2 linked regions of the Cricetulus griseus genome follow. The protein of the gene in region 1 purifies or fractionates together with the protein of each later gene. This does not show direct contact. Links are inferred from orthologs where the notes say so. Each region holds a gene or a part of one and is shown on either strand. Other genes may lie near its edges. The genes, in order: myeloid cell surface antigen CD33 and Ptpn6.

Region 1 (4,398 bases):
TTCTGTCACAGAGGCATGGTGACCATCTATAATATTACTACTCAGAAGGATGAAGCAATAGGATTATGGGTTCAAAGCCAGCATGGGTTACCTAGCAAGATTCTGCATCAAAAATTAAAACCAACAACTGCCATTGAAAATATCAAGGAATTACAGATCTAGGGGGCATATTTGCATATTGTGGTAATGGGCTGTTGTCAAGCACATAAAAAGAACTCTTTAAAAATTTTATGTTTTTATTTGCCTGTGTGTATGTATTGGCACACATGAGTGCCTGGTGTTCTCTGAAGTCAAAGGAGGCTGTCAGATCCCCTAGAACTGGAGTTACAGACAGCTATGAACCACCATGTGGGTGATAGGAACTGAGCCCATGTGGTCTGAAAGAGAAGCCAATGCTCTCAACCACTGAGCCATCTCTCCAGCCTCCAGAAAAGAACTCTTACAGCTTGAAATTACAAAGAACTCAAATGCCTTTAATCTCAGCCCCTAGGACAGAGGCAGATTTCATATTTATCTCTATCTCTGTCTATGTCTCTATCTCTGTCTCTATTGCTCTCTCTCTCTCTCTCTCTCTCTCTCTCTCTCTCTCTCTCTCTCTCTCTCTCTCTCTGACTTGAGGCCAGCCTGGTAACATAGTGAGGCCCTTCCTCAAAAAAATAGAGTATGAAGGTCTGAAGGTCTGAACACTCCAGCTCATAACTGTTATAGGATTTTTAACTAGTACTTTTCAGAAAATAATGGCCAAGAAGAGACAAGGTTGCTCAATGGCCTGTGACTCACCTGGTTAACATCTAGCTAACAATCTGGTTAAGCCAGATTGAATGACCAGTGAGCCTGACGTCATCTCCCCAGCAGTGGAATTATAAGCACATGCCACAATACCAACTCCCTTCCTCCCTCTCTCCCTCTGTCCCTCCATTCCTCACTCCTTTCCCCCTTCTTCCCTCCCAGCTTCTGTATGTGTGTGTGTCTGAAATGTGGGTTTTGGGAATTGAACTCAGTTCCTGCAAGGCAAGCCCTTTACTCACTGAGCTATCTCCCTGTCCCTACATTTTCTTTGTCTTTATGTCTGGTCAAAGTGCATAAATAAGCAATACCAAACTTCTCCTGATATTGATGAATACGCAAAAGATTCCCAGGGACAGGGGGTGGGTCATTGCTCATCCTAGGATCAGTCCACAGGACCCAAATGAAAACAAACAAAAAGGGTTTGCTCCACCTGACTTGGTGGAAGTATACACTCTCCTAGCTCCCTGCTGGGAATGTTCTGCTGTTCGGCAGCCATGAAGAAACACTTGGTCATCATTCTTTGTATTAGAAAGACACCAGATCCAGATGCAATTTGTATTGGGGAATTAGTAATTCAGACAGATAGAAAGACTGACAGACAGATTGACAGACATACATACAAAACTACTCACCACACATTGCTTTTGGCAGAGTGATATCAATGAGATGGCTGCCCAATAGTATAAAATGTCCACAGAACTGGATCCAACCAGTGTGAACCAGAGTCATGGAGAACAGAAACCATTAGGCTACTGATATCCTGAGTCCTCTCAGGCTACATGTGGACAAACAATAGATTAGCACTGTGTGTACTCATTGGTCTGTCCTGAGAAGGGGACTAACTTCTGTGAATGTTTACCCATAACGCTGTGTCTCCTGCATGCACCATAAGATCCAAGCTGACATACACAAGTGTTAGAGTGTGTGATTCTGTTTTGTGAATGCTGGCCTATCCCTGTAATGACCCTAGAGTGCCCCAGAAGCCCAAAAGGATCAAGGAATAGGTGGGGACAGGTGCTGTGACACTTGAATGTACTGTGGATGAGAAAGGTCATTAGTTTTCTAAGAAGGGGGTTTTTGAGTTCAGGATAAGGAAGGACGAACCTTGCTCTAAGCTACAGAGATCCTGTTCCTGCAACACAAGATGACTCCCCCTACCTGGGCCAGCTCCTCTAGTGGCGTGGGTTGCGGTATTCTGTGCAGTATCTTGGAAAAACAAAAACAGAAAACAAAACAAAAAACTTGACATCTCAGGTTTCAGCACCATTCCCCACAACTGTCCAGAAAGCGTAGAATTCGAGAGGTATGGGGACTGTGTCTATCTTAGTCCCCAATCCAACTATGATCCATCACACAGTCACCATGAACCCCAGCACTGGGTTGAACTCACAGGTGACATTGATCTGGACAGCCTTTTGAACAGTTACACCAGCTCCAGGGAAGGTCACTTGACAGACGAGGTTAGTGCCATGGTCCTGTAGCCTAGGTGTGAGGGTCAGAACTGAAGAAAGGGTGGTCCTAGGGCCCAGGGATGTGAGGGCAGCTGACATCCAGGAAAAGATGGGAGGTGTCCCCTTTTCACAGGCCCAGGGCACAGAACATGTCACGTTGCTAGGATGGCCAAGCTCCAGAGTCTGTGGGATGTCGATGTTGGGGGTGTGATTGAGGGCTGGTGAGGAGAAAAAGATGCAGGATCAGGACAGGGGAGAAGTACAGCCACTGAGAAGCCCAGGTTTGGATCCAGCTCCTCCATTACCCTACTCCATCCCCAGTGACTCTCAGGCTATGACCCCAGCCCTGCTTTGTGGCATCCATGAGCTTCCTCTGTGGTCAACATGGAACCAGTACTTTACCTGTCACATTCAGAAAGAGCTGATCTTTGTAGTAATTCCACTTAAAGGTATCACTTTCCGTTCTGAAGAAGTAATAACCGCTGTCACTCCTCTGTGCATCTCTGATGTCCAGTGAGCAGTCATTGATCCTTGGGTCCCCAAAGAGATGGAATTGGCTGTGAGTCTCCTGCATTGTTTTGTCTGGGTTGTTTGTAGCCACTGGAAAATCAAGGTCTGTATTCGATCCTGCACGGAACCAGTAGCCGAAGACGGTGGTGTTAAAACTTGGGTTCTTGAAAAGACTAAAGAATGTGCAGGGCACGAAGACACACAGACCCTCCTGCACTGTCACAAGTGTGGACTGCAATTCCACCTTGAATGTCTCATACATAAACATGGACTCTGCATGGAGAAGAAAGTAGTTTTCAGATGCCCACCCACACACCCAGAGCAGTAGCAACAGCATCCCTGCCCAAGGCCTGGGCTCCTGTGAGTGAGCAAAGAGAGGACTCCAGCAGGCAAAGCTTTATAGGAACTGGGAAAGCTGCAGAGAATCAAGAGCTTTCAACTCACAGAAGAGGAACCAAGGACTGCAGGTGGCCTGAGTCTTCCTGTCTGCAGAGAACATAGGAAAACCCAGCAACCAGATGTCAAAGAGACCTGAGCGACCCAGGCAGAGAGGAACAGAGAAGGAGGACTGTGAAGATAGCTCAGTCTGCAAAGTGTTGATTGAACAAACACAAGGACCTAAATTCAGATTCACAGCACGTACAAAAATATGGGCATGACAGTGCATGTCCGTAAATCCCAGTGTTGGGGAGGAAGAGACAGGAGGATCCCTAGAGTTTGTCAACCAGCCATTCTACCTGACTTTGTTATCTCCAGATTCAGTGAGAGACTCTCAAAAAACGAGGTTTAGAAACTGGAGAGATGCCTCAGTGGTTTAAAGCACTTATTGCTCTTGCAGTAGACCCATGTTCAATTCCCAGGACCAATTTGGTGTCCCACAGCCATCCACAACTCCAAGGAATTTGACATCCTCTTCTGACCTGCACTAGGCATGCAGGTGGTGCATACATATACATCCAGGCAAAACACGCATAAACATAAAATAAAATAATAAATCTTCAAAAAAATTGATGAGGCAGAGAATAGTTGAGGAGGACACCTGACATATGCACACACATGCACACAGGAAGGAAGGAAGGAAGGAAAAAGGATGGATGGAGAGAGAGAGAGAGGGAGGGAGGAAGGAAGTAAAGAAGTAAGGAAAAAAGGGAGAGAGGGCACTAGGGAGGGAAGGAAGGAGGGAATAAAGGAAGGAAGGGAGGAGTAGAGAAGGTTAGAGAGCAAGTTGTGAGGGACTTCCCTACAGCACCGGGGTTGATCCAGACAGAGGGGTGACTCTAAGACCTTTCCTTAGTCTAAGGCCTCTCCTTAGGAGGAAGATCTCAGATGAAATGAAGCCAGACTCTGTTGAGTTTGCCCACTCATTTTTCCAGGAAGTATACAGTGAGCTTTGGACTTTGCAGAACTAGACACAAGAAGGGAAACTTGTGTCTACCCCCCCACCCCACCCCAGCGCCACCTGCCTTGCAGGAGTCTCAGCCTCTCCATACACTGGTGCTGCTGTCTTCAAAGCTGCTGGCACTGGCGAGCTCTCCACCTGCCATGGAGGTATATATTTGTAAAGCATGAACTGGGAATTGTTTCTCTCAAATCTAATGGACTAATTCCCAAGGTGCCAATGACAGTAGCACCGTCAACGTGACACAAT
Region 2 (3,770 bases), on another chromosome or scaffold:
GCCTCATGGACTGGACTGTAGGCAGGTCCGGGGTCTGCATCATCTGTTTCCTCAGGGTGTGGGAGGTGGGGGGTGGGGGTAGAGGGCATTGGAAAAGGGAGGCATGCTACTGCACTTTCTCTGCTGCACGTGTCCTGGGCCAGCCCCTACAGTTTTGCCATGTCGAAGAAAAGAGAAAGGAAGTTCCACAGAGAGAAAGGACAGCTGGGCGTTGGTGGCGCATGCCTTTAATCCCAGCACTCGGGAGGCAGAGAACTCACAGAGGATCTCTGTGAGTTCGAGGCCAGCCTGGTCTCCAGAGCGACTGCCAGGATAGGCTCCAAAGCCAGAGAAACCCTGTCTCGAAAAACCAAAAAAAAAAAAAAAAAAAAAAAGAAAGGACAAATGCCCCCCCACCCCGTGTATAGTGTGTGTGTGTGTGTGTGTGTGTGTGTGTGTGTGTGTGTGTGTTTCTAGGGATAGGACCCCAGGTTCTTAAGCATGTGAAACACATGCTTTACCACCGAGGCATACCCTAAGTAAAATGTAACTATGTGTGTGTGTGTCTGTGTGTGGTGTGTGTACATGTGTGGGCATTTCTGTGGAGGCCAGAGGTCCTAGTGTTTTTATATGGTCTCTCCTATCTATATATCTATACTTGTATCTGTCTGTCTGTCTGTCTGTCTATAGTGTATGTGTCTCTCATTCTATGTGGCTCAGTGGCCTAGAGCTTGCTAGGTAGACCAAGTAGGCCTCAAACTCACAGTCAACTTCTGTCTGCATCCTCAGTACTGGCATTAACACACCAGGCTCTCCACATTATTTTTTGAGATAGGGTCTCTCACTGAACCTGGAGCTTATCACTTCAGTTTGGCTGGCTGGCCAATGAGCTAACCTAACCTCCTAGTAATGGGATTATATGGCCACTGTGCCTGGCCTTTTTGTGTACACTGGGGATCTGATACCAGGTTCTCAGGCTTGCTTGCATGATGGCCACCGAGCCACCACACTCATCCAAAATGTAATTTGTTTGTGTCTTTCTGTGTAGACTGGGCTGGCCTCCTGAGTGCAGGAATTAAAATCATATGCCACCATGCCTAGTTCCAAATGGAACTCTTTTTTTTGTTTTTTGAGACAGGATTTCACTGTGTTGTTGTAGCCTTGGCTGTTCTGGAACTCACCCTGTAGACCAGGTTGGTCTCAAACTCGGTGGATCCACCTGCTTCTGCCTCCCGAGTGCTGGGATTAAAGGTGTGCACCACCAATGCCCCACTCCGAATGTAACTCTTGAAGGTTGGAATGCCCTGAGGAGCAGGCAGGACAATGGCATGGTGTGGAGTTCTGTTTTTCCAAGGGATGAGGATAGCCGTCAGTTAGGAAGAGTGAAGGGTGGGAACAGAAAGTTGGGGACAAATGCTGCGAAGGAGGGAAATGATATCTCTAGCCCGGAAACTGGCACCTGCTTGTCCATCCTGTGACTGGGGCAGAGGAATGGGAGCAGAGACGGGCATACACCTGCTTCGCTGGCCTAATGACCTGGGTACATTACCGACCCTTGTGGCTGGAGCTTTGGATTCTTCACACCTTACCTAGTGCTGGGGTTAACCCCTGGCCTCCCCATTTCCTGGGCAGAGCTGGGCCTCTGATGGCGGTGCCTTCTCTCTGCAGTGCTGGCATTGGCCGAACAGGCACCATCATTGTCATTGACATGCTCATGGAGAGTATTTCCACCAAGGGTGAGGATCCTGGGGAACGAGAGTGGGTGTGGGGGAGGGGCAAGCAGTCCCTTGACCTTCGCCTACCCTGAAGTCCCACTGCCACCCTTGTCCAGGGCTAGACTGTGACATTGACATCCAGAAGACCATCCAGATGGTACGGGCACAGCGCTCTGGCATGGTGCAGACAGAGGCACAGTACAAGTTCATTTATGTGGCCATTGCCCAGTTCATTGAAACGACCAAGAAGAAACTGGAGATCATACAAGTGTGTGCAGAGTGGGGCTGATGGGTGGTAGGGGAGAGTGGGCATCACCCAGTCGTGCTGGTACTACCATCCTCCCACCACACCTTTGCCCACAGTCCCGGAAGGGCCAGGAGTCGGAGTATGGGAATATCACCTACCCTCCCGCTATGAAGAGTGCCCACGCCAAGGCCTCCCGTACCTCTTCCAAGTGAGTGGTCCTGCTTGCCCTCACAACATCTTCTCCCTTCTCCTGCCTAGCCTTAACTGTCCTTTCTGGAGTGGACCAGTGTGGAAGTTGGAGAGACCCTGGTTCGAGGTCAACCTTCTTCCTAGTACCTCTGTTCTTAAGTATTTTCTTTTTTTTTTTTTAATTATTTATTTTATGTATATTAGTGCTCTATCTGCAGGCCAGAAGAGGGCATCAGACCCCATTACAGATGGTAGTGAGCCACCATGTGGTTGCTGGGAATTGAACTCAGGACCTCTGGAAGAGCAGCCAGTGCTCTTAACCTCTGAGCCATCTCTCCAGCCCTCTTAAGTATTTTCTGAAGTGTGCGTTGTTACTCTGTGTGGGCCCATGCTATGGCCCAGCTGTGGACACATGCGTGAGTGTAGTCTGTGTCCTGGGAGCTTTGGGTCTAGTGAATGGACAGTGAGCAGGTTATCTAAGCTTTCCTGGCTTCACTGAGTGAGAGGGAGTGTGGAGGGTCTGCAGAGTCTCTGAATGTCTTCTCCCCTCCTCCCTCACCTCCCAGACACAAGGAGGAGGTGTATGAAAACGTGCACAGCAAGAACAAGAAGGAAGAGAAAGTGAAGAAGCAGCGGTCAGCAGATAAGGAGAAGAGCAAAGGGTCCCTCAAGAGGAAGTGAGCTGGGCCTTCGACTGCAGGTGGCCATGGTGAGGCCCCTTCTGCGTAGTCTTCTCTCTCCCTGCCCCAGTTGCTCCCACAGCAGTTCTGACATGCTGTGGGGAGGTCACAATCTAATGCTACCCTGCCAGGATGTCCCCAGATCTTCTCGTGCCCTCTCTCCAGGCCCCAGATACCCTCTGACCCACTTTTTCTCTTTTATCTGCAGCATCAGCATCAGCCTCAATCCCTGCAGAGGCCTCCACTGGGCAGATCAAGACCTGTGGCCCCCACACACCAGACCTTAGGACCACCCCATCCTCATGTATTTAAATGGCTGTGGTCCTCTGAACCTGTATATAGCCCAGCAAGTCTTCAGGCAAAGCCAGACTTCTATTCTTGTAAATAAAGCCCCTGGACCACTGTGTGTTGCCTCCAACTCTGTGTGTCCCATGTATCCTGGGACTCTGGGCAGGGTGGGACCGGGATGTTATGTGTGATTGCATAGAAGCTCAACTTTGTGGCTCAGAGAGACCTGGTTCTGGATGCTGCTTCACACAGCAGCCTGTGGCATTCCTAAGGCTTAGTTAGACTGCTCTGTGTTCTCCCTCTCTCACTCATGCTGGGGATAGAACCTAGGCCTCCTATGTGCTTGGCAAGTTCTCCAGTCTCTACAGCAGAGGGTGGTCTGGATTCATCTGCCCTCGTTAGCTCATGAGTGAAGATACGGCAATACGGCGAGTGCCAATAACAATGGCCACTGCTACATTCCACACTGGCAATGGGCCCAGGCACTATTTAAAAGACTATAGAATTAATTAATCCTAGGTACTTTAGTTTCTGTTTTATTTATTTTTTTGTGGTACTGGGGACAACGCTCAGGCCCTCCCTCATGCCAGGTAGTGAACAGCTCTCTCCCTGAGCTATACTCCTGGCTCTCAGTCTGGGTACTCTTTATTTTCCTGCTTTTACAGTGGAGAA

The links.
Region 2: the proteins of myeloid cell surface antigen CD33 (region 1) and Ptpn6 purify together in Homo sapiens (co-immunoprecipitation; 4 studies listed by BioGRID and IntAct, with this or other methods). This does not show direct contact. The link is inferred for Cricetulus griseus from reciprocal best matches to the Homo sapiens genes CD33 and PTPN6.

What each region holds. Positions count from the first base shown.
Region 1 is NC_048596.1:141,867,829-141,872,226, forward strand, and holds the start of myeloid cell surface antigen CD33, read right to left. Parts: upstream 3,088-4,398; coding exon 2,643-3,087; intron 2,459-2,642; coding exon 2,180-2,458; intron 1-2,179. UniProt on the Homo sapiens protein: Sialic-acid-binding immunoglobulin-like lectin (Siglec) that plays a role in mediating cell-cell interactions and in maintaining immune cells in a resting state.
Region 2 is NC_048601.1:21,684,055-21,687,824, forward strand, and holds the end of Ptpn6 (tyrosine-protein phosphatase non-receptor type 6), read left to right. Parts: intron 1-1,647; coding exon 1,648-1,715; intron 1,716-1,810; coding exon 1,811-1,962; intron 1,963-2,057; coding exon 2,058-2,149; intron 2,150-2,696; coding exon 2,697-2,811; 3' UTR 2,812-2,839; intron 2,840-3,018; 3' UTR 3,019-3,214; downstream 3,215-3,770. UniProt on the Homo sapiens protein: Tyrosine phosphatase enzyme that plays important roles in controlling immune signaling pathways and fundamental physiological processes such as hematopoiesis.